3 linked regions of the Struthio camelus genome follow. The protein of the gene in region 2 purifies or fractionates together with the protein of the main gene of each other region. This does not show direct contact. Links are inferred from orthologs where the notes say so. Each region holds a gene or a part of one and is shown on either strand. Other genes may lie near its edges.

Region 1 (10,298 bases), on a different chromosome or scaffold from region 2:
TTCCAGAAACAGAAAGTAACATATACACATATTCACTCTTATTTACAGTGTTATTAGTGGCAATTCACTTTAAATGACAACACTTAGCTTTTCATTGAGCCACACAAGTGACATAGTAGCAGTTACACCTTACATATCCACATCATTGGAGAATGACTTGTAAGATGCAGACAAGACCAAAACTTCTGGCTTAAAAATTTCTGGGTTAAACCTGAAGATTTTGCTGAAGTATCAATGCAGTGTGGTCAAATTAACTTCACTAGCCATATAAACATCTAATCCTTTTTAACGGTACGAAATAGCGTACGGAAAGTAAATACAATAAATTAATGAAAAATAGCTGTTAAAGAAAGTCTTCTTGAAAGGAGGTACATCTAAAATGCTGAAAGTACCACCTTGTTATAAATAATGAAGAGAGCCAGTGCACACACAAAGAGGAAGAAAGAGTTTGCTAGCAGTTTCTGACTTGGCATGCTACTAAAGCGTGATGGCTGTACTAGTCGCAACTTGGAGATAGTGCAATTGACTTGGCTAAACCTCTGCACTACATTATTTTTCTTAATATATACAAATGCAATCTATTAAGCACTTCAAAATATCATAAAGATAGCAACATACCTGAAATGTTAACTGCCCAGCTTAACCTTAAGTAGTAGTATTTGGAACAAGTATTACTAGCCTTCCCAATTCTAACCTCTATAAAAATTACTTTGGATTAAGTCACTAGCAAAAAAACAAATACAAAAAAAGGTCCTGCCACTATAAGTTAAATTGCTAACACTGCAAATTTATGATTTTTTTTAAGACACTACTCACCTAGCCAATATTCCATCAAAGGTTTCTGTAAAGTACACTTCCCCAGTAGGCTTTGGAGTTTGGTACACAACCTAAAAGATATTCACAGATATATGTGCTAATAAACAAATTATGATTTTTCATCTGAAAAACACTGTCATACCTCCAGAAGTTGTCTACCCAGCCACACCACTTGAGATCCTTCATTAGGAACATCTAATAGGATAAGATGCTTACGCCCGCCCCACACACCATTTCTACAGTTTGGGTGCATCCATCCAACGATGAGCAATTTTTCAGACATGAAGCATCCATGTGACCAAGAGAAAATAGCCAACAGCAGAGGAGCAAACCAAGGCTCAGGGCAAGGACCGTTAAAATGTAGAGGGATCTGAGAGCTTCATTTCCAGTGGCATATTAACAACGGTAAGAGAGGCTACTAGGTCAGTTTTAACCTCATTTTCAGATATAGTAAAAACTCATTCTCTTTTCCAGATTTCTGAAAACTGGATTGTGGTTCTCCTACTAGAAACAGTACAGAGCACAAATGCATACTGGATTATCACTAGTTATTTCCTCTCTGCTTGCTGTGCCCTCGCAGATAGACACAGGGAACAAATCAACATCTTGGAAAGTTTCAGATATGATAAAACATAAAAAACACATTAAGTACAAAATCTGCTTTTTGTGTTCAGGGTTTATAATTAAATAGTAAAGTACTGTCACATCATCTTATGCTTGGTGCTTAGGATTCCATAATAAATTTTAGAGGAAGTAGTTTCACAGCCCCACTGTACTGAAGCCCTAATTTCCAACAGTGATGCCAAAGATATGCCAAATAACTTTAAACTCACATCAGAGGAGGAACAAAATGGCATATATTTGTATTAGTCAATACAAATATCCAGATTCATACTGTTTAAACATGCATAAAATTTCTTTCTTATTACTTTAAGAGGAGAGAAAGCTATAATAGGTCTGCATTATTTGATATTGAAAATAAACTTATCTGGGGACTCTTGAAGTATATAAATGAAATATAGTACAGGATATTTAGATATTTAAGTTTTACTAAGCTAACTAAGCATGTTTGTAGAAGAAAATGCTCGGACAGTCCTTTCATTTTTCAATAGGATGGAGAGCTTGGAAGTCTCTTCTCAGTTTGAACATATAGCTGCATAAACTTGTAAAAACAGCAATCGACCCCTGCATTTAAGCAGCTCTAGAGGAACAAAGATAAATTACAAATCAAAGGGGGAAAAAAAAAACCCAAAAAATAGAAAGTTTACTGAACTTGCACCACTTCTCTGTTTCTTCCCTATTTCTTTCTATACAGATTTGTCACTCTCCCCCACAGTCCTTTCTATTTGGCACATAATAGTTGGGCTGCGCAGTTAAAAACAGAAAAAAAGTGTCCACATCTATTATGAAGTACAGCATAACAAATGCTGAAAGATCTTCTGAGAGTAAACAAAGAAATAAATAAAGAGGAGGTAAGACAGACAGTTGTGACTGATGAAATTAAGAACCTGTTCTGAAGTCAAAATGAGAATAAGCACAAGCAACATTTTCTGCTTTCTTCTCTATAAATGCGTGTTAGGCTGCAAGGTATATTACCAAGAATGACTTAAAACTAAAGGCTCCAGCTCCAGACTGAAGTATAGACTAGTAAGGCTTTTTTAAGGACTATCTAAGTACAGGTAGGAAATCTGATTTTCCACTTTCACATAGTAGAGTCATTCATAAAGCTTGTCCTCCATGTCTCACACAACAACTGAAAAACCTCACCTTTGTGAGTTTGTCACCCATGTGAGCTGTCAAATGTGTGCAATTTGCTCTTTCTAAAATGCGTTTGTTTACTAATTTCTATGTTAATTATAACTATCTTAAAATTAAACAAGATTTAACTAAAGACATCTATAATCTTACCTCTAAGGAAGATTCATCTTTGTCAACATTATTATCTTCTGACTGCTTGTCAAAATCCTCCACTTCAACATCTGTATCTCGATTTTCTTCATTTTCAATTTCTGCAGTTACTAGGCTAATTATCAGGACACTCAAGCACAGCCAGTCCCACTGGAAGTGCATCCTGCTTATCTGAAGAATTGAAAATTGTAAACTATAAATATCATTGCAAACTATCAATGCTAGTTCAATTTTACTCAAGATTTTAGCTACAAGAAAAAAAGAACCATATCCAAACAAGATATAAAGACTATAATCATTCTATTCCCATTCTTATTATTCTCTCGCTATTCTCTCATGTTAGGAAAGTTCTATACCTTAATATTAAATTTCTTTTTACTGTACAATCCTAAGACTTTTTTTTGCCTTCCCCTTCTCCCCAAGGAAGGGCTTGTAGCCTGATCCCTTACCTTGCCAGGCCAACAATGCAGCAAGAACACGACTGCTGGATGTATGCAATTTTAAGAACTAAGAATGCTTTTAATTACTCATTCCTTATCAATCTGAACCAGTAATCAAATTGAATCAATTTCTATAATTTCTATAAACCAATTTCTTTCTCCTAAGGCCCTTCCCCAGCAAATCACTCAATTTCTATGGAATACTGGAGAACGTAACTATGTCAATTGGGGACCGCTGCACCATGGCATTTCGTATATTCTACGCATGCTATTAGATTAAAAGCACGCATAGAAGGCTATTGTTACTCCTTTTGATGCAAGAAACTAAACATAATGCAGGATTTTGTGGATTACCAACTTTTCAGTGCTTTTCACTGTACTCTGAAGAGTCTTTTTCACAAAACTATTTAAACTATTTACAAGAGCAAAATTTGCTTTTGTCAAGCGGAACGTGAAGAAAATTGCCATGAAGAGCTTTGCTCACTCAAAGGTCTAAAGGTCCTGCAAGCAACATCAACCACCATAGGCTTTTCCCACTGTCAAATACTAGTTCCATCCAGGTCGATGGGCGTTCCCCTGCCCTTTCATCTATAACCATATATCACCTCACTCCTTCCCCATACAGCTACATGCACATGAATCTGCCCAGACATCATCCAGCTGAAACTCCTCCATGAAAAACACTCAAGCTCTTACAGAACGTTTTAGTTTCCTTTATTTGGGATGAAAAATGGTACTTTCCTATCTTTTACATAGATCTTAAAAATGCTGTGGTAAGATGAGTGTGTTAGCAAGATATAACCCAAACTGTAATATCACATTTGCGTAAGTCCCTCCTCAAGCAATTGCGTTGCTACGTTTCTCCTGAGTAAAACGGCCAGGAATACGCTTCTTCCTCAAGTTTAAGAGGTTCGACTCATGCGACCACCGGGCGTTCAGGTGGTGCCCGAGAAAAACCCAGCGGCCGTTACCTTGAGGCAGACGGCGGCGGCAGGAGCCGCCAACGCCGCCCCCGGGGCAGGCGGCTGCTGCGGCCGCAGGGCGGCGCGCGGTGACCGGGCCGAGGGGAGGCGCCGGCCGCCGCGGCGCCGCTCCTCCTCCGCCGCCTCCCTCACAGCCGGAGTCGGGCGGCCCCGGGGCTCCCCGCCGCACCGGGAGGGCGGGGCGCCGCGGCCCTGCCTCGCGCTCCGAACGCTGGCGTCGCGAGCGGCTAACGGCGAGTAACGGCCGCCCGGCGCGCGAGGCGCACCCCTGCGCGGGGCGGGGGGGGGGGGGGGGGGGAGAAAAGAGGAAGGCACACGCGGCCTCGGCCGGCCCCGCTGCCCGCACCGGCGGGGCGGCCTCTCCCTGAGGGGCGGCGGAGGGAGGACGGCCCCCCCCCCCGCGGGACTCCCGCCCCTGCGGCCCTCCTGCCTCCCCTTGCCCTAGTTACGAAACGCAGCGACACCAAAAAAGAGCGACCCCCCCGCGCCCCTGTTCAACCCCCGGGGGCAGCCGCCGCGCACGGCCAGCCCCCGCCGTAGAGGCCGCCCCAGCACGCCCCCCTCCCCGCGGCAGGCGAATTACCGGCGACGAAATCCCGTCCGCGACCCGCTAGCCAAACCGGGCCGCCTTTCCCAGGGCATCACCGACCACGGCTGCGCATGCGCACCACCTCCCCCTCGGCGCTCTCAGGGATGCAGGCGCCGAGCAGCAGGTGCAGCCGCTCGCGCCGCTCAGCCCAAGCCAATCAAGGCTCCGCAGGTGAAGCCCTGCCCAATCCGCGCGCGGCTCCAACGGACCGAGCGAATCACCACCTCAGCGAGCGGGAGGGCGGCAGCCCTAGCCAATCAGGAGCGCCCTCCGCGCCGCGCGCGCCAATCGAGGCTCAGTCCGCGGATGTCGGCGTTCCCGCACGTGGTCCCGAGCCAATCGCCCAGCGCCGTGCCCGGCGGGGGCGGGGGCGCGCGGCGGGGGCGGGGGCGCGCGGCGGCGCTGCTGTGGGGCCGTCCCACCGTCCCGCTGCAGTGGTTTACACCGGGTTTTACGTATGACACGTTTGAGCTTGTGATAGACACGACGCTTACCTTAATAACGCATCCCCAGCTGAGGGAAAATAACTGGGGGAGACGGCAAATCTACTTGAATTGCCTTGGAAAGTCATAAATGTGCGCTCCAGCACGGCATTTTTCAGGCAAACTTATCCGTCGTGGTACAGCATCAGTCATTTATCAGGCTGGATAAAGGCAAGGCTTCTTTCCGTCACTGACTGAAACAATTTAGTCCACATCAACCAAACCCTTTCCAGAACTGGAGAATGAGTCTAGCCTTGCTTTCTGCATTTGAGGAATAGCTAAGTGGAGGCACTGCTCCCTTCATTCCAAACCCGTTCCTTAAAGCCTCCCCCGGATCCCTTATGTACCCCAGATACAAGGTTACTACCCTTAGCAGCTTCCTGACTCAGCTTGATTCACAGTCATATCCTTCCGTTCTGGAGAGCGAACAAATCATGAGAGTTCAAGACATGATGCAGAAAAACAATATTTAAAACGGTGCAGGGGATGGCAGAGACAAAAGCAATTCCTTGAGAGATCACTAGGAACTTTTCCGCACAGCAACTGATAAATGAGATTTCAGTTTAGCAGCGCTTGCATGTGACGCTGCATCACTTCACGATTCGCGTTGTCAGAGGCTGCCTCCTCCCCAAAGGCTGCCTGGGTTGTAACGCTCGTTTCAAGGTCAGTGTTCCCCAGTGTCTGTGAGCTGAATCATAAATGCTGTATAATTACAGCCACTGCCTTTCATCTGGTGCTGTTAAATTTCTTTAATTTGCAACCCTTCACTAAACACTGTTTTAAAGAAGTACACGCCCCACGCACCCAGGGCTGTGTTTCAGTACCAGTCACCCCCTCAAAGGCAGGTATATTTCACTGCCCACAGAAGTTCGTATCGCGGCACATACGCAGAGCTCTTCTTTCTATTGTTCACGCCAACGTGTGCCTCTTTGAAAGAAAAGCAGTAAGGAAATGCCAGGAGCATTGATGGAAGCATGGCTGTAAGTCAGAGGATTTTGTTGCTCAGGGCTCTACGCCCCTTACAGCCAGTGCTCGGTCCACAACCATCTATTTTAATATTATTTTATTCTTCCCACGTTTAAGAAACAGTCTTTAAGACACAGGCGTATGGCCTGTACCCCCTCAAGCTAAGCTTCCCCCATACAGATACAGATTTCTCCAGCTGGTATTCTGTCTACCATGTATTAGTCTGCTCACTAGTATAAATAACTCAGAATTGTTCAGTTACCATCAGAATATGTAAAATACTTTGTAAATCCAAATACTAATGTTTTTGCGATATTCTGCCTTTAGGCATTATATGGTCATTATAAACTAATGCAGATGAGTGATTTTTTTCATTTGATGGTGTCGTCGAAGTCTAAGACTGCTGCAGGTTATTTCAGTTACAAGCTGCAAACAAGTTAGTCTTTACAACTTCAACACAGTGAATATTCATCTCTTCACAAAAATAGAAAAGCCATACAATTTCTTCTCTTATTAAGGCTTAGGTAATGATGATAGGAAAGATCTGCTAAGGCTTAATTCAAATATTTATTTAGTATACTTTTCAGAAGTTCTACCTCAGTTCTACAGAAACTTAAATCTGTAAACATCTTTAGCTAAAAAAATTTAGGAATGTTCTTGTGCAATCCATCATCAAAAAGACAGATGAAAACTATCCCCGCAGCTTGAAATACACATGCTTTAGAAGCGATTGCAGAATTCAAGATTTCTGCTCACTTCAGAATTGTTAATATTGCTACTGTTCAGTGCAAGGCATCTATGTAAGATGCATCTGGGATCTCACATTTATTTAAATATGTAGTAGTGTTTTGGGTTTTTTTTTTAAAGCATCCCATGCAGCAGTCTCAGACAAGACCATTAGTTTGTACAACCAGTAGGGCAGCTAGCTAACAGATGTGTGACTTATGAATAACAGTAAAAGTAAATGTTGGGGAGAACTGAGATCCTTGAATATGGAACACATTTACGTTCATTCATATATTTGGGAGAGAAGATTTTAAATTCAATAATTAAATCCATCTTAAACTTTGGATTAAAAATCTCCTCATTAATTGTAATAGATACTCCTGTTCAATAGTCTAGTCTCTTCTCAGTGTACGCCTAGCATCATTAGCATTAACACTGGATGTGTACTTGTATTAAACTGCAAAAGGTCATAGTAACAGTGATGAGATTAGGGTCCCACATCATTAATGGAAATAACAATATTTAAAAAAATTATTAAAACCAAGTTTATAATTGGCTTTTGTCTCAGAGACAAACCCCTTCCAAAAGTCCCTCAAAGGCTCTAAACAAGAATGCAGAGACACCAATCAGAGAAATGAGTAACTGCATTTCAGTGGATATCAAAATGGATGGAATAAACATCATTAATAGTGAAATAACCTGAAAAATGTGCTTTCTTCCCATACATGCATTTAACCTGATTATTGCTATGTAGAGTGAGCCTGAGGTAGTTAGTATTTTGGAGACTATATTTTAAACCATATGAAAGTATTGAGGTAAAATTTCCTACCGAAAAAGCTCAGGGATCTAGTTTGGAATTAGAACGTCCTTTTATATTTTCATTTTTATCTCCTGCTTACCTTTTTTTGTGTTGTAATTTACAAACATAATATTTACAATGCAACAAATAGCCATCCTTAACAGATGTTCCTTATCCCCCAGATCAATGATCTGAACTGAAAGTCCTTACGAGCTCATGAGGGGGCTTCATAACAGCTTTTACACTGGCCTCAGAAACAGTGTGCAAAAGCTTGTTCTGGTTTGACACAAGAGATTAAATGGAAAATCCCTGCTAGGGACATACTTTCCAGGTCAGAAGGAGGACTACGTATGATCTGTAACCACTTCATGTGTAACAAAGATTTCTATGAATAAATCCAGATAACTCACTCCAATGTTGGTTGTTGATGTTAGCAGGTAAAAACACAGAGGCATATTTCCATTACATGCCACTGTCTAAAACTTATTGGCACTGTAACACTCAAAAATTAGATATCGCTTCTTCAGTGAAAATCCAGAGTTCCTCCTATGTGGTGCTTTTAGTTTTATAGTAGGGCTGTGATTCTGCAGATTTGTGCAAGACAACATCTGCACATCACAAAGCACACGGAAGAACGGAGACTAAGCAGGATCTTACTTAACAGTGCACATGCAAGCATTCAGTATTTTAACATTTACAATGCTCCTGTATGTCAAAGTGATAGGCAATGTGTTCTGGGACTGCAATGGTTTGAGATATATAAAAACATAAATAGACTAAATGAAAGACAAAGCTGGCAGGGCAAAATGAAAAAATTATACTTACAGAAGTCCATGCATTTCATACTATAATTTCAGGTACTATGATGAGCTTTTTGAAATCATGCTTCAAGAGTTGCAGTGAAATATCTTTTCAGTGTTAAAATAAGAATATTTAGTAACAAAATCTTTTCTACTACCTTAGTATTTTCTGTGTTTTCATTGATCAATAATTGATCTGAAATTTCCTCCAATGCGATGACACTTCCCTGTAACAAATGACAGGCAGTCTGAATGCAAACCCTGCTCCCAGCCAGTGACTTGGTTCCACTGAAAGCAACAACAAAAGAGAGGACTTGGCTTTTTTTTTTTTTTTTTTTCAAACCAGATTATGTGCTTAATTAGCAAAAGAGTCTAGAAGAGATGCTCTTTCTACTTAAATCATACTTCAGTAGTGGGAGCAACAGGCCTTATAAAAGGGCAATTCAGATGACAGTTCCAGTAAATTTACAAAAATTGTAATTGTTTGGTACCATTCTGAAGTGTTTGACAAGATCTTTAAGATGAAGATAATCTCTGTGACACAATATGATTTCCATGAAGGTACTAAAACTTATGACACACTAAGAACTGAACTAAGATCTTAAAAAAGAAGTACAGTTTAATAATTTTCATACCCATAAAGGCTCCTAAAACCCCACAGGAAAAAGAAAGCATTCTCTAGGTTATATCTGTTCCTTTGCCTTTTGGGGTAAGGGCCCTATTCACTTTAATTTTATTTTCCCCTGCAAAGATGCTAAAGCCTTTTAAGGTTAGAGTTAAGAGAAGAATGACTTAAGAGTACTTAACTTTGTCTTCACTTAATATAATCTAAGTTGTGTTTTACGCCTTAGTTTAAGTTTCTATGATTAGGTGTCAGCCTGACTCCTGTTATCAGTAGAGGAAAAAAAAAAATTATCTGAATGGCTCTCCTAACCTGAGTCCGAGGGAGGAGGCTCAGCCCTTCGCATGCCATGTAGTTCTATGCAGAGCCACTTTATTTCCCTTCTTTCTCTAGCTGTAGTTTTAACCGCTGTACTTTTCACGATCCACCAGTCCCAGTCTCACTCAACCTTTTTTTTCCTACTGTACGTGCCCACAGATAAAGGTGTTCCCCTGTGTCTCTCTAAGCACTCTGGATTCCCCTATGTATAACACACTGCATTAAGTTCTTAACCTTCTGAAGGCGGCAATGTTTAGTTCACAAACTATTATTAAACTATTACTAATAAGCTATTTAAATTAAAGATGTTCTTCAAAAAACAGCCTTTCAGCCATTTTAATGTATGTAAGAATAATTAATGTTTCTTGCTCTAAAGAAAATATAATTGCTTTTAAAATACTAGCCTACAAAACATGTTTAATACAAATACGTGCAAATATGCAGCTTATTTGTCAGTATTGTGCAGTTAAACTGCGCTGCATATGGGTTGAACGAGGGTGCGCTCGTGCTTCAAGTGTTAAGGAGGTGATACAGGAATTCTGCACGTCACAGGGAGATGTCCAAGGTAGACTATCATTTCCCAAACACATTTTAAATGATACTTGTGTGGCTTAACTTTTATTTTCAAGTTTGTATGGAGTTTTGCATTTTGAGTAGGACTTAAGTACCAGGACATACAGTTAAATAAAAAATTGATAAATTACAGGATCCAAAATTATATTTAAATAGATTTTCCTTCTACAAAAATATAATTACACATAATATACCAGATATTTTCTGTAATTAATACAACACAATTTAGTGAAAAGTTTTACAATCTGATGAAGTTTAGCTGTTTGATTTTCAAGT
Region 2 (10,829 bases):
GCGGGGTGCCAGCAGCCTGCAAACCCGCGCCGAGCCCAGCTGCAGCCGTCCACGCACGACGCGCTGCAAAGCAGGGGCAGGGGGACCCCAGCGCAGGCGGGCACGGATGCAGCATCCCTCCTCCCCGAGCATCCCTGCCTGCCCCGGCTCTGCCCCCAACCCCCACCGCACGCTAATGAAGATGTTGCAATTAACAGCTGGAGAGGGGCATTGCGGGCAGGGGGAAGCCACGCGGCTTTGTGCCGGTGCCTGACCCCAATCCCAGCCCCGGCCTGACAAAAGGGAACGCGTTGGCTCGGCGTTTCCCATTCACTCGGGCGAGACAAAGCCGCGCCGGGACGCGGTCGGGGCTGCCCGTCGCGCCCGCGGTGGCGGGGGGGCCAGCAGCCTCGCGCAGCCCCTCCAGCCCGACCCCCAGCGAGGGGCTAATCCCGCCTGCAGCACGCTCCTCGCACAGCAATCGCTGAAGTTTCACGGGATGCATCAGTGCAACGCAGCAGAGCGAGAGATTTGCTAGAGCAGGGACATAAAAAAGACCCAAACCCCCGAGGAGGTGGAGAACGACGGAGCCGGGGCTCCGGGAATCACGCCGCCCCGCATCCCGGAGCATCAGGCGCCCCGTGAGCGAGCCCGATGCCACCCGGCAGCGGAGACGACCAGCTCTTAGGCCAGCCGCAACCCAATGGCAGCCCGCGTGTTTTATATAGCCGAGTTTGAGCTTTGACACTTGCTTTTATCACCCACCCATCCGGGAGTTAAAAAAAAACACCCGGAAGACGGGGACGGGGCCCGCTCTGCCCCAGGGCACGGGGCCAGCGACTGCTAGAAGCATCGATGCCTGGCGCAGGGCGGATGAGGACGTCTCGGCAGCTCCTCTTCCAAAGGCACCCGGGAGCAGGGAAGCTCTCCAGCACCCTCGCCCCACGGGGAGCAGCACCCAGAGCACCAAGCGGTCTGCGAAGCGCCCAGAACGGAGTGCTGGCACCTGTCCCCCCCCCACACACACACCCTTTAGGAGCCACCCGGGTGACAACTCACTGCCATGCCACTACTGATCGTGGCTCGCCGGGTTACGCTTGCATCCGGCCCGTCCACGCCAGGCTCCGGCGCCCGCCCCGACGCTCCCGGCCGCTAAATTAACATCCCCAGCGCGACGACCCCCCGTCTCGAGGTCCCCCCCCGCCACCCGCTCCCAGCGGCGCGACGCAGATACGTGCCGACGGCTTCGCCACTGTGAAATTTTAATGAACGGCAAAAGTTTCGCCCGTTCCAGAAAGGAGCGGAGAGCATCGGCCCGGGGTCCCGGAGCAGGAGGGGGAAGCTGGAGCCAGGATGTTTGGGTTCATCCCCAGCTCAGCCTCTCTCATGGGAGCTGGATGGTCACAAGTGCTCTGTGCCTCAGTTTCCCCACTCAAGGGAGTCACATTATGGCCCTTCTTTCAGCCATCCATCACCCACCTCAGCCCTCTCCCACCCTACAGGTCAGCCTTATTTATTTTCCTGCTGACAGGCACCGCTATTTTTAATTTTTGGCTAGAGGCTGCCATGAGGAAAAAAAAAGAAAAACGCCAAAAAAAACAAATCAATGCACCAGCACAGGGACTGCATGCAGGTGAGCCGCTCCGGTTTTAAGCGAAGGGAAAACAAAGAGCAAGGCAAAAACATGCCTTAGCGCACAGGGCGTCACCGAAGAGCTGGAGCTGCAGGGTCCCGTCCTCGCTGGGTGCCACTTTGCAAGGTAGCACCCAGGTCGACCCCCCCACCCTGCCGTGCACAAGGTGACGGCGATGCTCCGGGGCTGCCCGGAGGGAGCCCCGCAAGCGGCACCGGGCAGCGCGCCCAGCGGCACCCCAACCTCGCGCACGGGGAAACCGAGGCACCAAGGCAGCATTGCAAAAAACAACCAAAAAAAATAGTTTTTTCACCTAGATTCTTGGTGCTGCCGTTTTAAGCCAGCAGCTGCTTCGGTGCTCGCAAGGGCCTCGCCGGGCACTGCCTGTCCCCCCTCTACCGCCAGCCCTGTGCTGTCTCTGCTCATCATCATTAATACATGAAATCACTACAGGATTCCTAATTGCAGCTGCCCCGGCTCCGGCTGCAAGGCTTGGCTGACCCGGGAACATCCACGGCCCGGCCTCGCTCTGCACCCGCTCCCGTTTGCCAGGGGTTTTTTTCCCCCCCTCACCCTCGGCTTACCCTCTGCTCATCCCTCCTCTTGCAGGGGCGCTTTGTGCTCTTTCCCCAAGGAAAAAGCCAGAAGAAACGGGAAAGCAGCCTTTTTCCAAGGCTAAAGTGCTCAGCAGGAGGGAGAAAACTGATCATGCTTTAGCAAAACTCTAATTATATCTCAGGAAAACCAAAAAAAAATAAAAAACCCACAACAAACCCAGCACGCAGCCGAGCAGGCTGTAACCGGAGAGCGGCCTTCGGACAGGCTGCGGCACGGCCTCGCACACCACCTGTTTTTCCCCAAATCCCTACCCGGCAGCCGGCACGCAAGAAGCGGTGCGGGGGAAGAGCTGGGGCCCCGCTCCCCACTTGGGACCTCGCGGCTTGCAGCCACAAGCCAAAAAAGCACTTCCAAAAATAATAATAATAATAAATCAGAGGTGCCACCAGCTGCGTGTCTGGAGGGGAAGATCTTTGCCGGCGAGGGCCGCGGAGCAGGGCCTGGGAAGAGTCGCCCCGACGGGGCCGGCAGCGTGCGGGAACCGGCCGGGCACCCACCAGCGCTGACCACTTGGTGGGGATTTCCACCCGCCCCCCCCAACCAAAACACCCCGTAAATAACCACCCGCCCGCCGGGATGAAGTTTTATTTCCTGCTCAGGGCGCTGCGGGCAAGGAGGAAGAGGGAGGAAGAGGGAGGGATTGCGACGGTGGAGGCGCTCGGGGCGGTAAAGGGAGCCGGACGCGGCGCGTTCGTCCCCTCCAACTCGCGGCTTTGCAGGAAAATATGGCTTTTTCTTCCCCCCCCTTTTTTTTTTTTAAGGTGTCCCCAGGCGCTGCTCGCTGCGGGGACTTGGGAGCAGGAGGCACCGCGGAGCGGGGCATGACTCCGCGGCTGGGAAGGCAGCGCGGCCGCCGAGCGCGGGGCTGGATCGCGGCGGCGAAACAGCAGCTGGAAGGAGCAAGGCGGAGGGGGGGGAACACCCACATCTGGGAGAGGGGACACGGGCGTTTGGAGATCGGTGCGGGCACGAACCGAGCGATCCGCGCCCGGAGAGCGGAGCGAGTCCCTCTCTGCCGCCCCCCCTTCGCGGCGCTCCCCCCGGAGCGGGGCTCGGCGTGCCGGTGCCGGCCGGAGCGCTCCCGGGGCGGCGGCCCGAAACGCGCCGGGGGCCGAGGCGCCGGCCCCCGCTCCAACGCGGGCAGCGAAACTTGGCGCTCGCTGGGGACTAAATCTCAGTTGCAAACCTCAGCGGGAGCGGCCGGCAGCGGCTCGCGAGCTGCCGGGGCGGCCGCGCTCCGAGCCCCTCTTTCCCCCGACGGCCCGGAGAAGGTATTTGGGGGGGGGGGAACCCAAGCGCCCCCCCACCCCATGCAAGCAGGCACCCACACGCCGGCACGCCTGCGAGCACCCCCGGGCACGGCTGAGCGTGCACACCTGCGAGCATGCACCCGCGGGCGAGCGCGCCCCAGCCCGCGGCGCCCCGCTGCCCCCCGCGGAGCTCGGCGCTGCTGCGCAGCCCCAAAACGCCCCGACGGCCGGGAGCCGCCGTGTCCGTCCGTCCGTCCTCCCCCACCACCGCGCCGCGCACCGTCCTCACCGGCGGGCGTCTCGGTGTCCAGCGCGCAGACCCGCAGGGCGAGGGCGAGGAGCAGCGCCCGGGCGCTTCGCATGGTGCAGCCCGCCGCGGCGGGAGGGGGGGGGGAGAGGGGGGGGAGGGTGCGGGGCTGCTGCCGCCGCCGCCGCCGCCTGCGGGCCCGCGGATTCGGCGCGGCGGCGCAGCGGGGCACGCGCGCCCGCCCCGCGCCTCAAATAGCGGCGGCCGCGCGGCGGCGACCGGCTCCGCCTGACGTCAGCGCCGCGCGGGGCCGCCGCCGCCGCCGCCGCCGCCGCCGCCGCCGCCGCCGCCGCCGCCGCGCCTCGGGCAGGCCGGCGCCGCCCCCTGCCGGCCGCCGCGCGCAACCGCAGCCCCCCTCCCCCCTCCCCTCCCCGCGCGCCCCGGGGCCGCCGCGCCGGCGGGGGCTCCGGTTGCGGGGTTGTTGCTGCCTGCACGGGGGGGTCCGGTTGCACGGGGGTCCCGCGTGGCGGAGGGAGCCCCGGTTGCACGGGGGGGGGGTCCGGTTGCGCGAGGGTCCCGCGTGGCGGAGGGAGCCCCGGTTGCACGGGGTGGTCCCCAGCTGCAGAGAGATGCATGGGCTGCAGGGGGGTCCCCGGTTGCAGGGGGGTCCCCAGCTGCAGAGGGGTGCGTGGCCGCAGGGGAGTCCCCGGTTGCAGGGGGGTCCCCAGCTGCAGAGGGGTGTGTGGCCGCAGGGGGGTCCCCGGTTGCAGGGGGGTCCCCAGCTGCAGAGGGGTGCGTGGCCGCAGGGGGGTCCCCGGTTGCAGGGGGGTCCCCAGCTGCAGAGGGGTGCGTGGCCGCAGGGGGGTCCCCGGTTGCAGGGGGGTCCCCAGCTGCAGAGGGGTGCGTGGCCGCAGGGGGGTCCCCGGTTGCAGGGGGGTCCCCAGCTGCAGAGGGGTGTGTGGCCGCAGGGGGGTCCCCGGTTGCAGGGGGGTCCCCAGCTGCAGAGGGGTGTGTGGCCTCAGGGGGGTCCCCGGTTGCAGGGGGGTCCCCAGCTGCAGAGGGGTGTGTGGCCGCAGGGGGGTCCCCGGTTGCAGGGGGGTCCCCAGCTGCAGAGGGGTGTGTGGCCTCAGGGGGGTCCCCGGTTGCAGGGGGGTCCCCAGCTGCAGAGGGGTGCGTGGCCGCAGGGGGGTCCCCGGTTGCAGGGGGGTCCCCAGCTGCGAGGGGTGCGTGGCTGCAGGGGGGTCCCCGGTTGCAGGGGGGTCCCCAGCTGCAGAGGGGTGCGTGGCCGCAGGGGGGTCCCCGGTTGCAGGGGGGTCCCCAGCTGCAGAGGGGTGCGTGGCCGCAGGGGGGTCCCCGGTTGCAGGGGGGTCCCCAGCTGCAGAGGGGTGCGTGGCCGCAGGGGGGTCCCCAGCTGCAGAGGGGTGTGTGGCCGCGGGGGGGTCCCCGGTTGCAGGGGGGTCCCCAGCTGCGAGGGGTGCGTGGCCGCAGGGGGGTCCCCGGTTGCAGGGGGGTCCCCAGCTGCAGAGGGGTGCATGGCTGCGGGGGGGGGTCTCCAGTTGCAGGGCAGGTTCCTGCCTGCTGGGGGGTTGCGTGACTGCAGGGGAAGGTCCCCCATTGCAAAGGTGGGGGGGATCCCTGGTTGCAATGCATGGGGTGCATGGCTGCGGGGGGGGGGCGCTGATTGCAGAGGCATCCTCAGTTGCAGGGGGGGTGCGAGAGATGCTCGCCGGGCAACGAACGCCCAGGGCTGGCGAACGCAGCCGGAGCGGCCGAGATAACCCGGAGCAAGCGTGGGGTGAACACAGAGGGGCAGAAAAGGAGGAAAATCTCTCCGACGGGGGTGGGCATGGGGCGGGGGGGGGGAAAAAAACACAGGGCAAGGGAGAAGGCACCAAGCACCGCCGGGGAGCCCTGCACGAGGGCACGGCGCCGTCTCGGGAGCAAGCGCGGGGACGGCGCGGCGCTGGGCACCGGTGCCAAGGGATGTGAAAGCCGCCTTGTTCGCCGGCATCCTCTGCAGCTCTGTTTACGGAGGGAAATGTTTTCCCAAAGGTTTGGAGCAGAGGGCGGGAGTTTGCACCGCGGTCGCCGGCGTCATCCGCCGTGGCCCCCGGCTCCGGCGACAAATAGGGTGAAAAAAAAGGTCTAAGGGAAGATTAAAACAAACTTGGAGGGCGGGTGGGAGACGGCTGCGTTTCGCCGGGCAAGGCCTTGGCGTGCCCGCGGCGGTGCCCGGATGGAGGAGGTGCGGGAGGAGGCATCCGAGCCTGAGCATGACGGATTGCGGTGTCAAACGGCTAATAGATGGGTGTAATTCAGCTCTGCAAACCTCCTAGGAAAATCCCGGCTCGGAAGACGTGCGCCGTGTCCCTGGTAATAGCCTTGCTTCGCATTGCACAGCGCTGCCAGCAAATGCCAAAAGCTTTCTCCAATTTCTCTTTGTCCCCCCCCACCGAAAAGAAAGGCAGCGCTCCGCCAGGCTGCCTTGCCGCTCTTGCAAATTGAGCTCATTTATTTGCTTTATCCAGGTGGGGTCGGATCCATCACAGGACAAAGACTCGCTCGGGAAAATAAATCGCGCCGGGCCGGCCCCGGAGGAGCGCTTCGAAGCGCCGGGCCAGCGCAGGAGCCGCTGGCGCCCGGAGCCGAGCCGTCCTTTCCCAAAAGCAGCGGGGGCGGAACGAACCCGCCGGCGATGCGGACCCGAGAGGTGGGCCGCGTCTCGGGCATCGCTTGCCGAGCTCGGCCCGGCGTCCCTCTTCACCCGCCCGGCGTCGTCCGTCCGAAGGGAAAACAGCTTGGATGGCGCCTGCCGGCTCATCGGAGCCAGGCCGGAGCGTGGCGGCTCCTGCCTCGCACGTCCGCGGCCCCACCACGGACGTCCCCGCGCCGGCTGGCGCCCGTGCCCACGGTGCCAGCGGGGCCCCGGGCCGAGGGGAGGCCGAACCGCCCCGGTTCCCGCGCCGGCACCGCGGGAAATCGCCGCTGCCCATCTTCTCCTCCGCGCGTTAGGTGAAGACCCTGCGTCCGTCTTGGCGCGTGGCCTGGGAGCGTGTCCCTACCCAAGGGACGGTCCCGTCCCGGGACTCCAAACACGACGTGGCCCCTACCCAGAGCGCCGACATCGGTGCGATCGGAGCCAAAGAGCCCGCCGGAGACAGACGGCTCCGCCGCCGGCTGCTCCTCCACCTCGGGGAGCATGTCCGAGCTGAGCCAACCGTAAAATCTCTGCAAACCATTAAAATCCGTCCTGCCCGGAGCGGACGCGGGCGCCCTTCACCCCGAGCACGGACGGGCCCCATCGCCAGCCGGCGACGGCAGAGCCGTCCCCCTGCCCCTCGCTGCGCAAGCCTGACAAATCCCCTTCCGACGATGCTAAAAGCCTGTTAAAATAATGCCTCATAAAGGAATTAAGCCGCTTAGACGAGCAGCGAAGCCAGGAGAGCGCAGAACCGGCGACGGACGAAACACCTCCCAGGAATAAATCTCTTCCGCGGCAATTAACGGCTTGGCTGCGCTTCCCGGGCTCGGTCCCTCCGACCCGCCGGCCTCCTTGCTCTCCAGGCACGAGCCCGCGGGCGGCAGGCACGAGTTCATTAACTGCAGCTGACAAACCGCTTGTCCGAAGCCAATTAACATCTCCGCTCCGTTCATTAAGGCCGTGGTTCGCCAGGAAGCAGGTACGGCTGCGCCGGGAGAACGGGAACGCAGGGGCAGCTCAGCTCCCCGCAGGGGCAGGAGGAGCTGGAGCTGCGAGCGGCCGTTGGGTGCTGCCCGGCGGGCTGCGATTGCCCCGCTTGGGTCCTGGCTCTGCAGGATCCTGCCGCCCTGCAAGTCCCTACGCGTCCTTTATCCCCAGGGATGAGGAATACGATGCTCCCCTTCCCCGATATCCGTTCCCTCGGGACACAGCTCCTCTAATCCGCCGTCGCTTCAGGCCAGCGGGCTGCCGCAGGACATCGCCGGGATTTTTTGGCGAAGCAACCCGAAAAGACGGCGCTTTGAAGGCGCGCGAGCGTTTTCACGCGACGCGCCGGCCCTTTTCTAAACGCCAAAGTCGCTTTTCGGAACAAGGCGTCGCGCAAGCAGAGCGGGCACCGGGCCAGCGTTTCCCGAAGCGCCTTTCCCGGCCAACGTGTCGCAACCCAACGCGCGCCCGCTTTCCGAGCCGCTTCGCAACCCCTTCCCCGCTCCCGCACCGCCTGCCGAGGAATTTACCAAGCACGGGGAGAAAAAAACCCAAAAAAATCCCAACTCTGCCAGTTGCAGCCGCGGAGGCCGGAGGTTGGAGCCCCGCCGGAGCCAGCCGCCCGCCCCGGGAAGCGCCAGCGGCGAGGGGGCGGCCGTCGCCCCGAAATCACAGCTCTTCTCTCGCCTCCGCCGGTCCCACGCTCTCCGAGTGAAATCAGAGCGTTAGCCACGATTTGACCCGCCTGCGCTGCAGGGCCCAGGCGTCCGGGCTGCCCTCTGCTTCCTCCCGCAGCGGGATTAAACCGGGCAGCCCCGCTCCGGCCGCCGCTCAGACAGCGACGCAAGTCCATCCTTCCCCTCCCGCCGCGCTGCCGCCGAGGGCCCCCCGTCAGCGTGTTTGCAATTAAAGCAGCGTTTCGGCTCTCGAGCAGCAAACGCTCGTTAAAGCGTCTCGCCAGGAGAGCCTCGAACGGCTCGGCAGCTAACGGGCGAAGGGGACGGCGACTGGCCCCCCTCTCCCCCCTCCTTCTGCCGGCGGGGGATCAAGTGCCCGGGCACGGAGCGCGGGATGAAATGAGTTTTGATTTCCCACGCGCTAAATGTGTTCACGCAGCCTAACGGGAAGCGTTAGGGTCGGGGCCGCTGGACACAACCTGGCCGTGTCATGCACTCACAGCAGCCAGGGGACGGGGAGCCCCGTACCACCACCATGGACCCACCACGGACCTGCCACGGACCTGCCATGGAGCCACTCCGAAGCCACCATGGACCCACCACGGACCTGCCACGGACCTGCCATGGAGCCACTCCGAAGCCACCATGGACCCACCATGGACCTGCCACAGACCTGCCATGGAGCCACCCCAAAGCCACCATGGACCCACCACGGACCTGCCATGGACCTGCCATGGACCTGCCATGGAGCCACCATGAAGCCACCATGGAGCCACCCCCAAGCCACCATGGAGCTACCATGGACCTGCCACGGAGCCACCACAGACCCACCATGGACCCACCACGGACCCACCACGGACCTGCCATGGACAGGCTGAGCATAAGGATGAGGCCGAGGGTGAGGATGAGGATGAGGAAGGCTCGGGGCCCTGCCAGGTGGACAGGGCAGTGGGTAGCGCTCTCCTCCCAGCCCTGCACCTGCTCCAGGGCCGGCCCCATGCCGGGGTGCCGTCCTGCCTGGTGCGGCCCGGAGCCGCCCCGGCCGGTGGAGAAGGTCCCAGCTTCCAGGGGTGATTCCTGGGAATTTCCTCGCATCCCAAGAGGGCCGTGATCCGGACGGGATGGGGCCTTCAGGCAAGCCCCTAGGGCGAGCAGGGTTTTATCCTGCTCTCCAGGTCGGTTCCTTGCTTTTTACTGCCGCCGGAGTAAATTCACCCATTTTCCCATGAAAACCACGGGGTTTTGCTTTGGCTGAGTGAGCTGGGAGACAGCCCGAAGCCCGGGGAGGGCGAGACGGCGGGAGGAAAGGAGGAAGATGAAACGGGGAGGGGGGAAACTGAGGCACGAGCAGCGGTGGTGGCGCAGCCGGGGTCTCGATCCCGGGATGCCGTAGCCTCCACCCCAGCTCCACCGCAGACCCCTTCCGACCAGACTCACTGCAAAATAAACCCCCCTCCCCCCCCAAAATTAGATTTTAGGTCATTTTGAGAATATTTCCCCTGCAAGGACAAGGCAAAGGTTTCCGCCTCGGCAGCCTCCGCTCCCATCCCCGATGGAGCAAAGCCAATTCCCAGCCGGCGCATGCAGATTGCGGATGTTTTGACCCAAAAAAGGGGGTCCCCCCCCCCGCAATGCCTCCTGCTTCTAGCACGGGCTGGAGGGAGCATCTCCCCTCCCGAGCCGTAACTCGCTGCGGTGACCGTCCCTGGGACGACCGATCTCGCAGAGCGCCGAGGGAGCCACCCTGCCCAGCGCCAGGCAGCCGTCCGCGATGCTACAGAGGAATTGAAGCCATTCGAGACCCCAAATTTTTACCTTCTGCTCCCCCCCCACCTTTCCCTTTATGCCAGTCTTTTTTTTCCCCTCTTCCCCGGCCTTCTCCCTCTTTCTCTCTCTCCGCCTATTACGCCCCCAGCCAGTTCTTTATCTCTAATAAGACTCCGCTATTTTCTCAAATCACCTTTTACTAATGCCCAAAGTCCTTTTCTTCCTTAACGGACAAAAAAGATTGTCTCATCTAGCCGCTCTCGCCCCGCAAGGCCCCGCCGGCAGCGGCCAGGCGCCCGCTGCGGCGCCGCGGCCGCCTCTAATAGAGCTATTAGATGAGTTAGCGCAGCCTGAAAGGACGAAATAACTTGGGCCCCTTCGTCCGAAGAAACCGCCGGAGCCGCCCGGATTCCTGTTCGCGGCGACGAATGAGCGAGCGCTCCCGCGGGAAATAGCCGGGAAGATGCTATTCGAGCACCGTGGGTGCCCGGACGAGACCCCCAAAAGCTGCCGGGGGGGAGGGGGGGGGCTGCAGCCGCCAGCGGCACCGTCGGTTTTTGGTTAGCAGCTCCGGGATGGGGAAAGGGCGTTGGGTGTCTCCCGCCCCGTCTCACCGCAATAGCACGTTCCCGTTCCTCCCGCCGCGCGATAGCTGAGATGCTGCAGTGAAGCCGCCGGGGATCCTGCGGCACCGCCGTGGCCGAGCTGCTCCCGCGGCTGGACCGACGCTCCCAGTCCCGGCCGCTCTCTCCAGGCTCAGGCCGAAACGCTTCCCACGGCCCTAACGCCCCTCACCCCCCCCCCACCCCAGGCAATTAGCGCTTTTGCAATTAGTTTGCAATTCTCCGTTTGCAGTGGCGGGCCCGGCCAAAACTACCTGCAGCCAGGCGAAGCCTCTCCCCTTCTCCCCGTCTTGTTGCACCAAGCCGAAAGAGCCTTTTGCAGTTTATCTTGACCTTTCGCCAGCTTA
Region 3 (10,383 bases), on a different chromosome or scaffold from region 2:
TTTTATCATATTAAGGACGATGAAATAAGATTATCTTCAGGTTTTGAAGATACAACGCTCAGAGAATAAGATTTAAAGAAATAATCAGCCTGCTGGGAAGATCAGCTTCTCTATGAAAGACCTTACAGATAACAATGACTTTGGGTTTTCTTAGCAGCCATGAAGCATTCTGCCATCTCTAAATTTTGCCTCCAGGATTCCCACTGTGAGTTACAGAAGAAGCCCTACTTTCTCCATGTCCAACAGAACTTTGTTAAGAGATAACAATGCCGAAGGCTGACATTCTCTTTTGTGTGATGGCTTAGAAGCTTAACTTTCAAATACAAAGTCTTCCACAATGTGAACTGTCTAAAGAGGGGGAACTTAAGATCCCAGCCTCTCTGAAGCAATTGTTCTCATTTCCCAAGTCTGCCATTCTTTTAATTGCATCCTTGTCTTATTTCAGAAAACATAAATAATTCTCAACCAAGTACCTGAGGTTGTGAACACCAGAAAAAGCAGAACTCCCTACAGCAGGGGTTGTATGTACCACTCTCCAGATCAGGTGAACGGGCTAGCGGATTTTGAGACCTCTTTCCAGTGCTCTATGCATTCTCCCTTGGTAGACGTAAATGCTATTTTTCCCAAGCGTATAGAAGATCCAGCCCTGGTCCACGTGTTGAATCCATGCAAAGTAAGACTATGAAAGAGAGAAAACATCTAAGACTGACTTTTCAAAGACAGAAAGTACTGCTTATTCAGACATGAAGAATTGGCCAGCACCAAAAAGAGGGTTCTTACCATCTGGCATAGGTGGAAAATCTGAAAAACTATGCAGAGAGAGAAAAACAGTAGAGAGGATGCTAAGAAGCAAACAGAGACTTCCCTCTAAACTACACCTGAGGATCCTTCCCAAGATTTAGGCAGACCAAAGGCATTCAAGTCTAAAACTGATCTGACACACAAACTTGGGAGTTACCTACGCTCCTTAACCGTTTCACCAAATGACTCAAGTTTCCCTGGAAGCCCTACAAGTGTTCCTCTGTATGTATTGAGGAGAGCAGCTGTCTTTATAGACCTGAACAGTCACAACTAAACCCAACCAAAACCAGGCAATATTTTAGTGTCAACCAAGCGCTTCAGTCCAGTAGGCCACCTAGGAAAATACCCAGCTCAGCACAAAACATCCTCAGGAGCCTTAAAAAGACACTTTAGAAGTTGCCCCTTTTTATATACAAGCCCTCTGATGAAGTGTTTCTTCAGGAAGTCCAGGTTCAGTTCCCTCCCCTGCTTGTAATGACAGTTAGAGTCCTTTTCAACCACCTAGAAGAGAGCTGTAAGCACTAAGGTATCGAGTGTTTTTGAATACAGGCACTCTCTTTTCCTCCTGGCAATGCTTTGTTACTGGACCTGCCATTTTTAACAGTTCCCATTTAAAAGATTTCAGAGCACTCGCAGCATAATTCAGCTCCCAAAACTGTCTCTACAGCAATATCTGTGTCTTAAGACAAACTGGTTATGTCGCATGCAAAAGATAAGTCATGCTGCTTAGCAGTGACATGTTTTGTTGTTCTTACAAAGAGAATAAAGTCAGAATAATCTCACGTGTTGTTAAGGACACCAAAGAAACATAGCCTATTTGTAGAGCTTTTTTCTTTGACAACAGAAACACTGTAGATTTAAAATCCAGGCCATTTAAGAGTTCAAAGTGCAGTCAGATACCACACCTGCAGACCCGTGATTTTCTGTCAATGTTTAACAGAGTAGCTATTTAAAGAAAATTCCTTTCTATTGTTTTAATATTAAAGAGTTATACAAACACAATAACTGGTTATATACAAAACTAAAACTATTTCTGAACCATTTGTTCAGCTCCAGGTGAATTGGACATAGACACCAGTGCCAAGTTCTGTCTAGAATTTGATCTGGAATAGTTCTGTTCTATTATCACTAGTAAACTCCTTCTGCAAAGATGGAAGCAATTACACAGTTCATCCTGGAAACAGTTGTATTAAAAGTACAGGGAAAGACAGGGACTCTAGCTCACTAGGCCCAGAGCCTTAAAAGTATTTAAGCATATAGCTACAATTTATTTTAGTGGGAGACTAGGCTTGCCACTGCACCTCCAGGGGTCTCAGCCTTATCCTCTCTTAGTTATATTAGCTGTTGCCATAATACAGGAAAGTTTTAAAGATTCAATTTTATTGTTAAATCATGTTTTCCTTGTATGTTACAATTCACAAATAATTTTTTTTTAAATAAACTTATGGCTACCATTCCAGATATATATCAGATCTCCCACTTAATACACTTGAAATGTTGGCACGGGTCCCAGAACCGTAATTGTTTTGGTTTTTCCATTGATAATCAGTTGTATTGACATTTTTAGATTCTAGCTCATATTTTTAAGTTTTATCCTCTCACTCTTTTTAGTGTATCAATGAGGAACTTAATGCAGGGACAATGCTGCATCCATGAATTTATTTGGATAGATGACAGCTACTCATAATAACAATTAGGAAGTAGAAAGTTCAACCTCACAATCCAGACCCAATGAATCTGACTGATACGTTTCTCTCACTACACGAAAGAGGAGCATGCAGCAAACCTTATCCTAATAGGGAGGAGAAAAACTAAAAAGCTAACTTGTTGAATTTTAACTTGAGAACAAGATGTTCCTGTTTCTCTGTTTCCTCTTCAAATACCGTTGGCAAATATACAGACTAGTAAAAGTAGCTCTTTAGCCATCTGCCACAAACTCATCTTTCAGCCAAATATGTATACCTTCTCGGTGAAGAAAACGCAAGTTTTTAATCAAATTTTTCCACAGCACTATAGTTTTATTACCTGAAACTGAAACACTACATAACGAAGATCTCTGACCATAACTGATCATATTCATTAACAAATCACTGTTAGAACCTAAGAGCTTAAGTCCAGTTCTGCTATCTCTGCCTAAAAACTGTATGCTTCCAGGCATGCTTTTCCATCGGCTTCCCCAGTGAAGAGTATGGTTAAAGATCTCTCTTAAGTCAAGTACTGTTACAGTAGCTAGAGGTAACTCTTATTTTTTTGTGCAGTTTTAAGAAATAAATTCCTAAAAGTTGGAAGTTGGTTCTGGTCTTTGAATGTGGTGACCTGATAGCTTGCACTTGACAACTAGGGAGGTGCAGAGGTCTTGCACTTCCTACAGAGCTGATGCTTCGTGTATGTATTTTCTGCTTTGCACCTGATTTCCAGACACGCAGATGTCCGGAATCAGCACCTTTTCGTCTTCAGATACGGAATACTCACGTTTGGAGCGTCCTTAAACTAAGATACATGTATTTACGTGGCAGCTTCGAACTAAAAAAGAACCCAAGTTGTTCTAAATGCAACAGAATCGCCTTACTCAACTCAGTTACTTCAACTTTACTTTCAAATTACCCTTTGAAAAAAAGGGGTTTTACTAGAGCTAGAAGCATTCGCTACTGTCAGGGGAAGAGGAGCAACGCTCGCCTCCGCCGTCCGCAGCAGCGATCGAAGCGGCGCGCAGTCCTCGGGCGTTAAGGGCTATGGCGCAAGGGGAGAGCAGAGCTCCCCGGAGGCTACGGCGAAGGCTCCCACCGGCTGGGACGAGGCTGGGCTCGCACCTCGAAACCTCGCGGGACGGGGAGGAAGAGAAGGGGAGAAGCAGCGCGCGAGGAGGCAAACCTTGCGAGGGGCCAGACAGCGGTCGCCCCCGGAGGAGCGGGAGGAGGAGGAGGAAGAGGAGGGTGTCGCGGAAGGCCGGGGAGAGGGCGGCGGAGGCGGCCGCCGAGGTACCTTGTAACTGAGCGGAGAGGGACTCCTGGTGCTGCTGATACTTGAGCGCCACGGCCTCCGCCTTCCTCAGCTGGCTCTGCAGCTCGTAGTAGAGCATCGCCCCGTAGATGAAGCCGAAGACCACGGTCAGGAGCAGAAGGGTCTGGAAAATCCGCTTCTGTTTCCGGGAGCACATCCCGTTGCCCATAGTCGCCGGCGGGGCCCCGGGGCCCCCCGCGAGCGCGGCTCAGCAGCAGGAGACGGCGGCGGGAGGCGGCGGCATCGGCGGGAGGAGGGACGGGCCGGGCCGGGCGCCTCAGCCCCGGGGCGCCGCCGCGCCGCCTTCCGCGGGCGTCGCAGCGGGGCCGGCGGCACTCAGCGAGGCGCGGGGCGGCCGCCCCAGCCGCATGCTGCCCCCCGCGGGGCCGCCCCGGCTGCTGCTGCTGCTGCTGCTGCGCGCCGCGGCCCGACGCCGCCGCCGCCCAGAGACCCGACCCGGCCCTGCCCGGGCGGCGTCCCCACAGCCCCGGGGAGAGGGGCTGAGCGGGGGGCGGGGAGGGGCTCGCCGCGGCGTCCCGTCAGGCGGCGTCTGCGTCGGCAGCCGCTCCGCGGCGGCAGCGGCGGCGCTTCCCCTGCGGGTCTGTCTGCCCGCCCGCCCGCCCGGCTCCGCTCCGCTGCCACCTGGACGAGAAACAAAGGAAACTTCCCTGGCGGCCTGGGCCCCCTCCCGGCGCCGACTTACGTGTCACCGCCCGCGCTCGGCCGCTGCCCGCCGCGGCATCCCCCAAGGAAGTCCCGCTCCGGGCGCCGCCTCATTGGGCCCGGCCGCGGCGCTCTCCCCTCCCTCCGGGGCGGCAGCGCCTCCGCGCATTGGGTGAGCGGCGTGTCCGTCCGGGCCGCCGGGGGCCCCGCCCCGCCCCCTCCTCCGCCTCCGCCTCCGCCTCCTGCGGGCCGGCAAGGGAGCGGGGCGGCGGTTGGCGGCGGTTGGCGGCGCGCGCTGCGCTGCGCCGCGCCACGCGGGGCCCTGCCTGAGGGGACGGGTGTAACGGCCGGCGTGACGGCGCGGGTGGCGGGCTGTGACACCATGTGTGACAGGCGGTGTGGCGGGGCGTGACACCGCATGTGGCGAGGTGTGACACCATGTGTGACAGCTGATGTGGGGTGTGACGCTGCGTGTGACACCATGTGTGACAGGTGGTGTGGTGAGGTGTGACACCGCATGTGGTGGGCTGTGACACAATGTGTGACAGGCGGTGTGAGGTGTGAGACTGCGTGTGACACCACGTGTGACGGGCGGTGTGGCGGGGTGTGACACCGCATGTGGTGGGCTGTGACACCATGTGTGACAGGCGGTGTGGCGGGGTGTGACATTGCATGTGGTGGGCTGTGACACCATGTGTGACAGGCGGTGTGGCGGGGTGTGACACCGCATGTGGCGAGGTGTGACACCATGTGTGACGGCCGATGTGGTGAGGTGTGACACTGCGAGTGACACCATGTGTGACAGGCAGTGTGGTGGGGTGTGACACCGCATGTGGTGGGCTGTGACACAATGTGTGACGGTCGATGTGAGGTGTGAGACTGCGTGTGACACCACGTGTGACGGGCGGTGTGGTGGGGTGTGACATTGCATGTGGTGGGCTGTGACACCATGTGTGACAGGCGGTGTGGCGGGGTGTGACACCGCATGTGGCGAGGTGTGACACCATGTGTGACGGCCGATGTGGTGAGGTGTGACACTGCGAGTGACACCATGTGTGACAGGCAGTGTGGTGGGGTGTGACACTGCATGTGGTGGGCTGTGACACCATGTGTGACAGGTGGTGTGGCAGGGTGTGACACCGCATGTGGCGAGGTGTGACACCATGTGTGACAGCCGATGTGGGGTGTGACACTGTGACACCATGTGTGACAGGTGGAGTGGCGGGGTGTGACACCGCATGTGACAGGCGGTGTGGCGGGGTGCCCACCAGGCCCCGCCGCGTGGCCGTTGGGGCCTGCAGCGCTCCAGGAGCACGAGGGTGAACTGCGTCTTACAGAAGAAACAAAGTCCCCCAAAGCCTCTTTTTCTTGCTTGAGCCCCACATTAATTTAGATTTTTTTCATTTCATTCGTTTATGTCATAGGCCATTGACCGTTCTTTGTTTCCGGGTGCTGACACAGCCCAGAGGCACCGAGCATCACTGACAGCTTTTCTTTGCCTTTTTCTCCTCTGAGAGTCCAGCTGAGGCAGTTGGTGAATTTGAGGCCGCATGTCTGTGCCTGTGCTCTGCTCATGCAGTGTTTCCGAATTCCATCGTTGTGCCGAGAAAGGTGAGAAAGGTCTTACAGAATTAATTCTTAACCAACAGGACTTCAGAATTAACAGAACTAGAGTTCTCTCTATTAAGGTATTTTATTATCCAAAAAAAAAAAAAAACCACTTGCCACAAGCTTAGCTAGTAATACTAATAAGGAAAAAAAAAGACATAATCCAAAGTTATTTTTCCAAAAATATCCAACTTTCTAGTGTGCGTGCAGCTAGAGTTTATCACAGGCGCCATTGCTGGCCCTAAAAGAAATACAGCATAAAAGAGGTATAAAAATATGTTCACATTTTCTACATACACTAGTAACTAATTGCAGTCACTACCACAAGCTGGCATGGCTTCTACCTAAATGTATTTCTAATTTAAATCTGTTGTCTTTTAATTTAACTAAATGCCTTGTTCTTCTATTACAGTCAGAATAAAGGCTCCTATTTGATCTTCATTTTTCCTTATGCTTTTAGTTGTATCATCTTTTAATCTTTCTCCCATGTTTGCCTGTCTTGGGATATGTCTGTACCATCCTCATTTTCAAGAACGCACATTTGCTCTACCTACGCCCAAGCTGTCCATCATCCATAAAGCTGCAATAGTGAACAGCTTTATTTTAGCTTATTTGCAGCTGAATTTGAATATCAAACAACTATACTCACTTGTTGACTTGCTTATAACATTTAGAATTAGATAATTAATACTGTGACATTTTGCAAAAATGTTTTAAAGAAGATTGCGGATGGGACTACTTTCCATCTCAAGTTTTAACATTTCATGTACTGAATATTGTACAGAAAGATGTATTTCCCTGCTGAACGGATTCAGTGGAAAATTCCATTAGCAGCAAAAATGCTAGCAGTAATTTATTGCATGTAATTATATTCATAGTATCTGCATTTACAGTGGATAAACAATATTCTTCACCCACTGACTTCCACGGTTGCCAACTAAAATGTTCAAAAATTGTAAGTTAGGCACCCAGAAATAATTATAATTGCTTTAAACTAGTGATACTTTTTAAGTATTCATGTTTTTTTTTCTTGCCTTCAGTAAGTTTCCTGAAGCTTGTGAATTTACGTTTTCAAACTTGTTTTCAAAACCACAAATGTTTCAAATGGACTTGTTTTCATTCAGTTTTACAGTATCTGTTGCTTTCACAAAAATATTCATGTAGGCTTCTTAGTACCCCCCAAACTCCAGCTTGTCTTCCTCTCTCCCAGACTCACTCACAGAGATGTCCTGTGTATTCTTGCTTTCCCAGACTCCTCAGGCTGAGCTTATTTAAGTAGAATAAAACAGTTCTTTATTTCTAGATTGAGACTTTAAAATCACTGGAGATGATTAATATGTTAGTACTGCAGGTAATCAAACTATACGCTTGTTGCTTACATTACCTTTCCTAAAAAGAGTCTACACCTTTAGTTTTGATGACTTTGCACCAAAGAACAATTGTCTAGCCAGCAACTACATCTGAATGTGGTAGTTATTTTTGGTTATCATTATGAGTTTATACACGTCACAAAGATACGTCATAGATTTAAGAGGACAGTGAATTAAGGTCTTTAAGTAGAACTTACTCTAAATGCATTTATTTGATTATGATGTTAATATACTTTATCTTTTTGTAGAAATTGGCCATAACATTAGCAAATGCTGAGAAAATAGGAAATGAGTCTCTCTCCTTTTGCTTGATCAAATATTACTTACATTCAGTAATAGCTGGTGATAAATCGTTTCCAGCTAATGTAAATTCTGATTCTTCATGAGCAAACCAATTAAAGTTAAAATGAGGAATTTATTGGGAGCAAGGGACTATTAAGTGAATCCATTAGGCAAATATGAATTCAAATCCCAAATTAGAAAGGTTTGAACCAGAAGGAAACTGTAATCTATACAAATGCATTAAATTAGTTGCTAGGAGAGGAGTGTTACTTTGACTGCTCTAGTCACTGAATAAGTTATTGATATAATCAGGACGGAAGGGGGATAGGTGCTTGCTGACCCATGTTGTAACATGGGAAGCGTGCTCAGAGGTTGCGACAGGGAATTGATGGGCAGGCATTTGCACACATATATTTACCGTTTTTGGCTTAGTTTCCTAACAAAGTGAGGCTTATGCAATCACACCATCTGTCAGTTTGTCCATGACAGGGACAAACAGTTGGCAACTCGTTGCCAAATTTCAGAAAAATTTAACTGTACCATAGAAATGTTGAGCAAAATTAAGTTCCTATACATTCTGAGAAATTAGAGGAGCAATGTACCAAGTATAAGCCTAAGTAAGTTACCTAACAGAAGGTAAGGCTACATGTGCTAAAACTCAACTAGGTAAAAGAGAATCTACACAGGAGAGACATGTTAGAAATGTCCCATTTCTTTGGAACGTTAGTTCTCATAGTCAACCACAAGGGTGGGAAGCCAGTCCTCAAGAAGTTTGGATATCACAGAACTACTTGTTTTTCTTTTATTTCCCTTGTTTGTTTTCCTCCTCTTAGCGTGATTCTCCTATGATTTCATTCATTCTTTCACTGCCAGTTTTATTAAGCTTGATTCTTTGATTATTTTGTAACTATGGAAACCAATGTCCTAATAAAAATGATCAGTGGACAGCTTTGAGGTTTTCCAGAATGACCCAATGACGACAATAATTCAATAGACCTGGCGGCAGATTATCAATGGATCAGGGATCCAGAGTGATGGATAGGTACTGTGAAGGTTGTCCCATACAACTCACGACTTATTCATTTGGTTGCCAGAAGTTAAGGACTGTACAGGCAAGACATACGTTATTGCTGCTCCAGCTACAAAGTACATTCCAGCTGCAGATGTTTAGGCAAGAACGACCTTTGTCTAGCAACTGCAGCCTGCTAACACGTATAAAGATTGTTTTAACACATGGGGTCATTTATTGGAGGTCAAGTACTGAAGAAATAAAATGGTTGGGCTTCAGGAGGTGAATGCTGCCTGGAAAAACTGAATTACATCCTTGACTGAGATCACAGTTAGTGACATTAGGGGAAGTCACTTAAAGCAGGCTTTTTATAGATGACTATCAGTTGCCTATATCTGAGTGTCCAACTGAAGCCATCAATTGAACTCTTATTTGCTTAATCAAAGTCTTAATCTGAGGTGAGGGCAATGGGAGTTATGTTTCAACATAGAAAGTGTTCTGCTACTTAGTATTCAGAAAAAATTTAAACACAGATTATCCCAAACTGGACCCTCAAAATAAACACACATTTTTGGCTTTTGTTTTCTGGTACCTCAGTTCTGGTTGTAGAACAATAGATATGGCTAACTTCTACCTTATAGGGATATGTAAAGATGTATTGTTCTGAATTGCTTGGCAGTCATGGTAAGAAAGGAGATAAAATGCCTATGAGAAAATTCTGTATAGGTACATGATGTAATTTAAACAGTGTCAGAATGAGGTGAGAAAATGTAGTTATTAGTGGAAATGAATAAGGAGGCTAAGCTCAGTCTTTGAATATCTTAATTCTGGTATTTTCTGACTTACATACTCTTGTCATCTTACTGGCTCCAATTAATTATCCTTATAATTAATAATTAATGCACATAAGCAGATTTATTAAAATGTACTGTAGTTCTAATAGGACTAGGAAGCAATAGAACTGCTCTGCATGTGCAGTAGGTCTACAAATGCACAAGTGTGACACATCTAGGACACACTTGGAACTGCCATACATTGCTTTGCATCATTGCCATACGGTCGTCGTACATGAACTTCAAGATGCAGTAGCACCGATGTGTCCTATGTTGGAGTAATTACTAGTTGCCTGTCACGGTAGAACTACTCAGAACAACTTCTAGGAAACACTGGAATTTGAGTCAGCCTTTTGCTGCAGTCCCCAGAAAAAAGCTCCTCCTACCATTATGTACTCCATTGTTCTTAAAATTATAGCTGCCCTAAAACTATTCAATAGCAATACCTTAAAACAAATTTTAAGATCCCAGATCAGTTAAATATCATATGCTAAAATGCTAATTGACTTTAAGTGATGGTCAGATGATCAGCCTTATGACGGACTTGCAATTGGAAAACCTGTTTTCCTGGGGGCTAGCATTTTACAGAAGGGAAAATAATAATATTTGACTGCAAATGATAATATGACTTATGATTAGGGGGCTGGATATTTGAGCCTTTAGGCACTTCTCTGGCAGTATGTTATTTACATGGAACAGAAGTGCTCTGCCGCAGGGATGTGTGTATTCTGGTTCTGGGTGTTCTGTTTGTACTGCAGATCAATCTCAGCCGCTAAGTGAAACGCAAACAATGATAACGTTCAGTTTGAGCCCGGCA

Evidence for each region.
Region 1: the proteins of PTPRU (region 2) and CLGN purify together in Homo sapiens (affinity purification with mass spectrometry; 3 studies listed by BioGRID and IntAct, with this or other methods). This does not show direct contact. The link is inferred for Struthio camelus from reciprocal best matches to the Homo sapiens genes PTPRU and CLGN.
Region 3: the proteins of PTPRU (region 2) and GOLIM4 purify together in Homo sapiens (affinity purification with mass spectrometry; 3 studies listed by BioGRID and IntAct, counting the BioPlex papers as one, with this or other methods). This does not show direct contact. The link is inferred for Struthio camelus from reciprocal best matches to the Homo sapiens genes PTPRU and GOLIM4.

What each region holds. Positions count from the first base shown.
Region 1 is NC_090945.1:33,017,232-33,027,529, forward strand, and holds the start of CLGN (calmegin), read right to left. Parts: upstream 4,893-10,298; 5' UTR 4,731-4,892; intron 2,896-4,730; 5' UTR 2,887-2,895; coding exon 2,725-2,886; intron 888-2,724; coding exon 817-887; intron 1-816. UniProt on the Homo sapiens protein: Functions during spermatogenesis as a chaperone for a range of client proteins that are important for sperm adhesion onto the egg zona pellucida and for subsequent penetration of the zona pellucida.
Region 2 is NC_090964.1:5,776,292-5,787,120, forward strand, and holds the start of PTPRU (receptor-type tyrosine-protein phosphatase U), read right to left. Parts: upstream 3,947-10,829; 5' UTR 3,843-3,946; coding exon 3,770-3,842; intron 1-3,769.
Region 3 is NC_090950.1:28,822,704-28,833,086, reverse strand, and holds the start of GOLIM4 (Golgi integral membrane protein 4), read right to left. Parts: upstream 4,100-10,383; 5' UTR 3,971-4,099; coding exon 3,784-3,970; intron 1-3,783. UniProt on the Homo sapiens protein: Plays a role in endosome to Golgi protein trafficking; mediates protein transport along the late endosome-bypass pathway from the early endosome to the Golgi.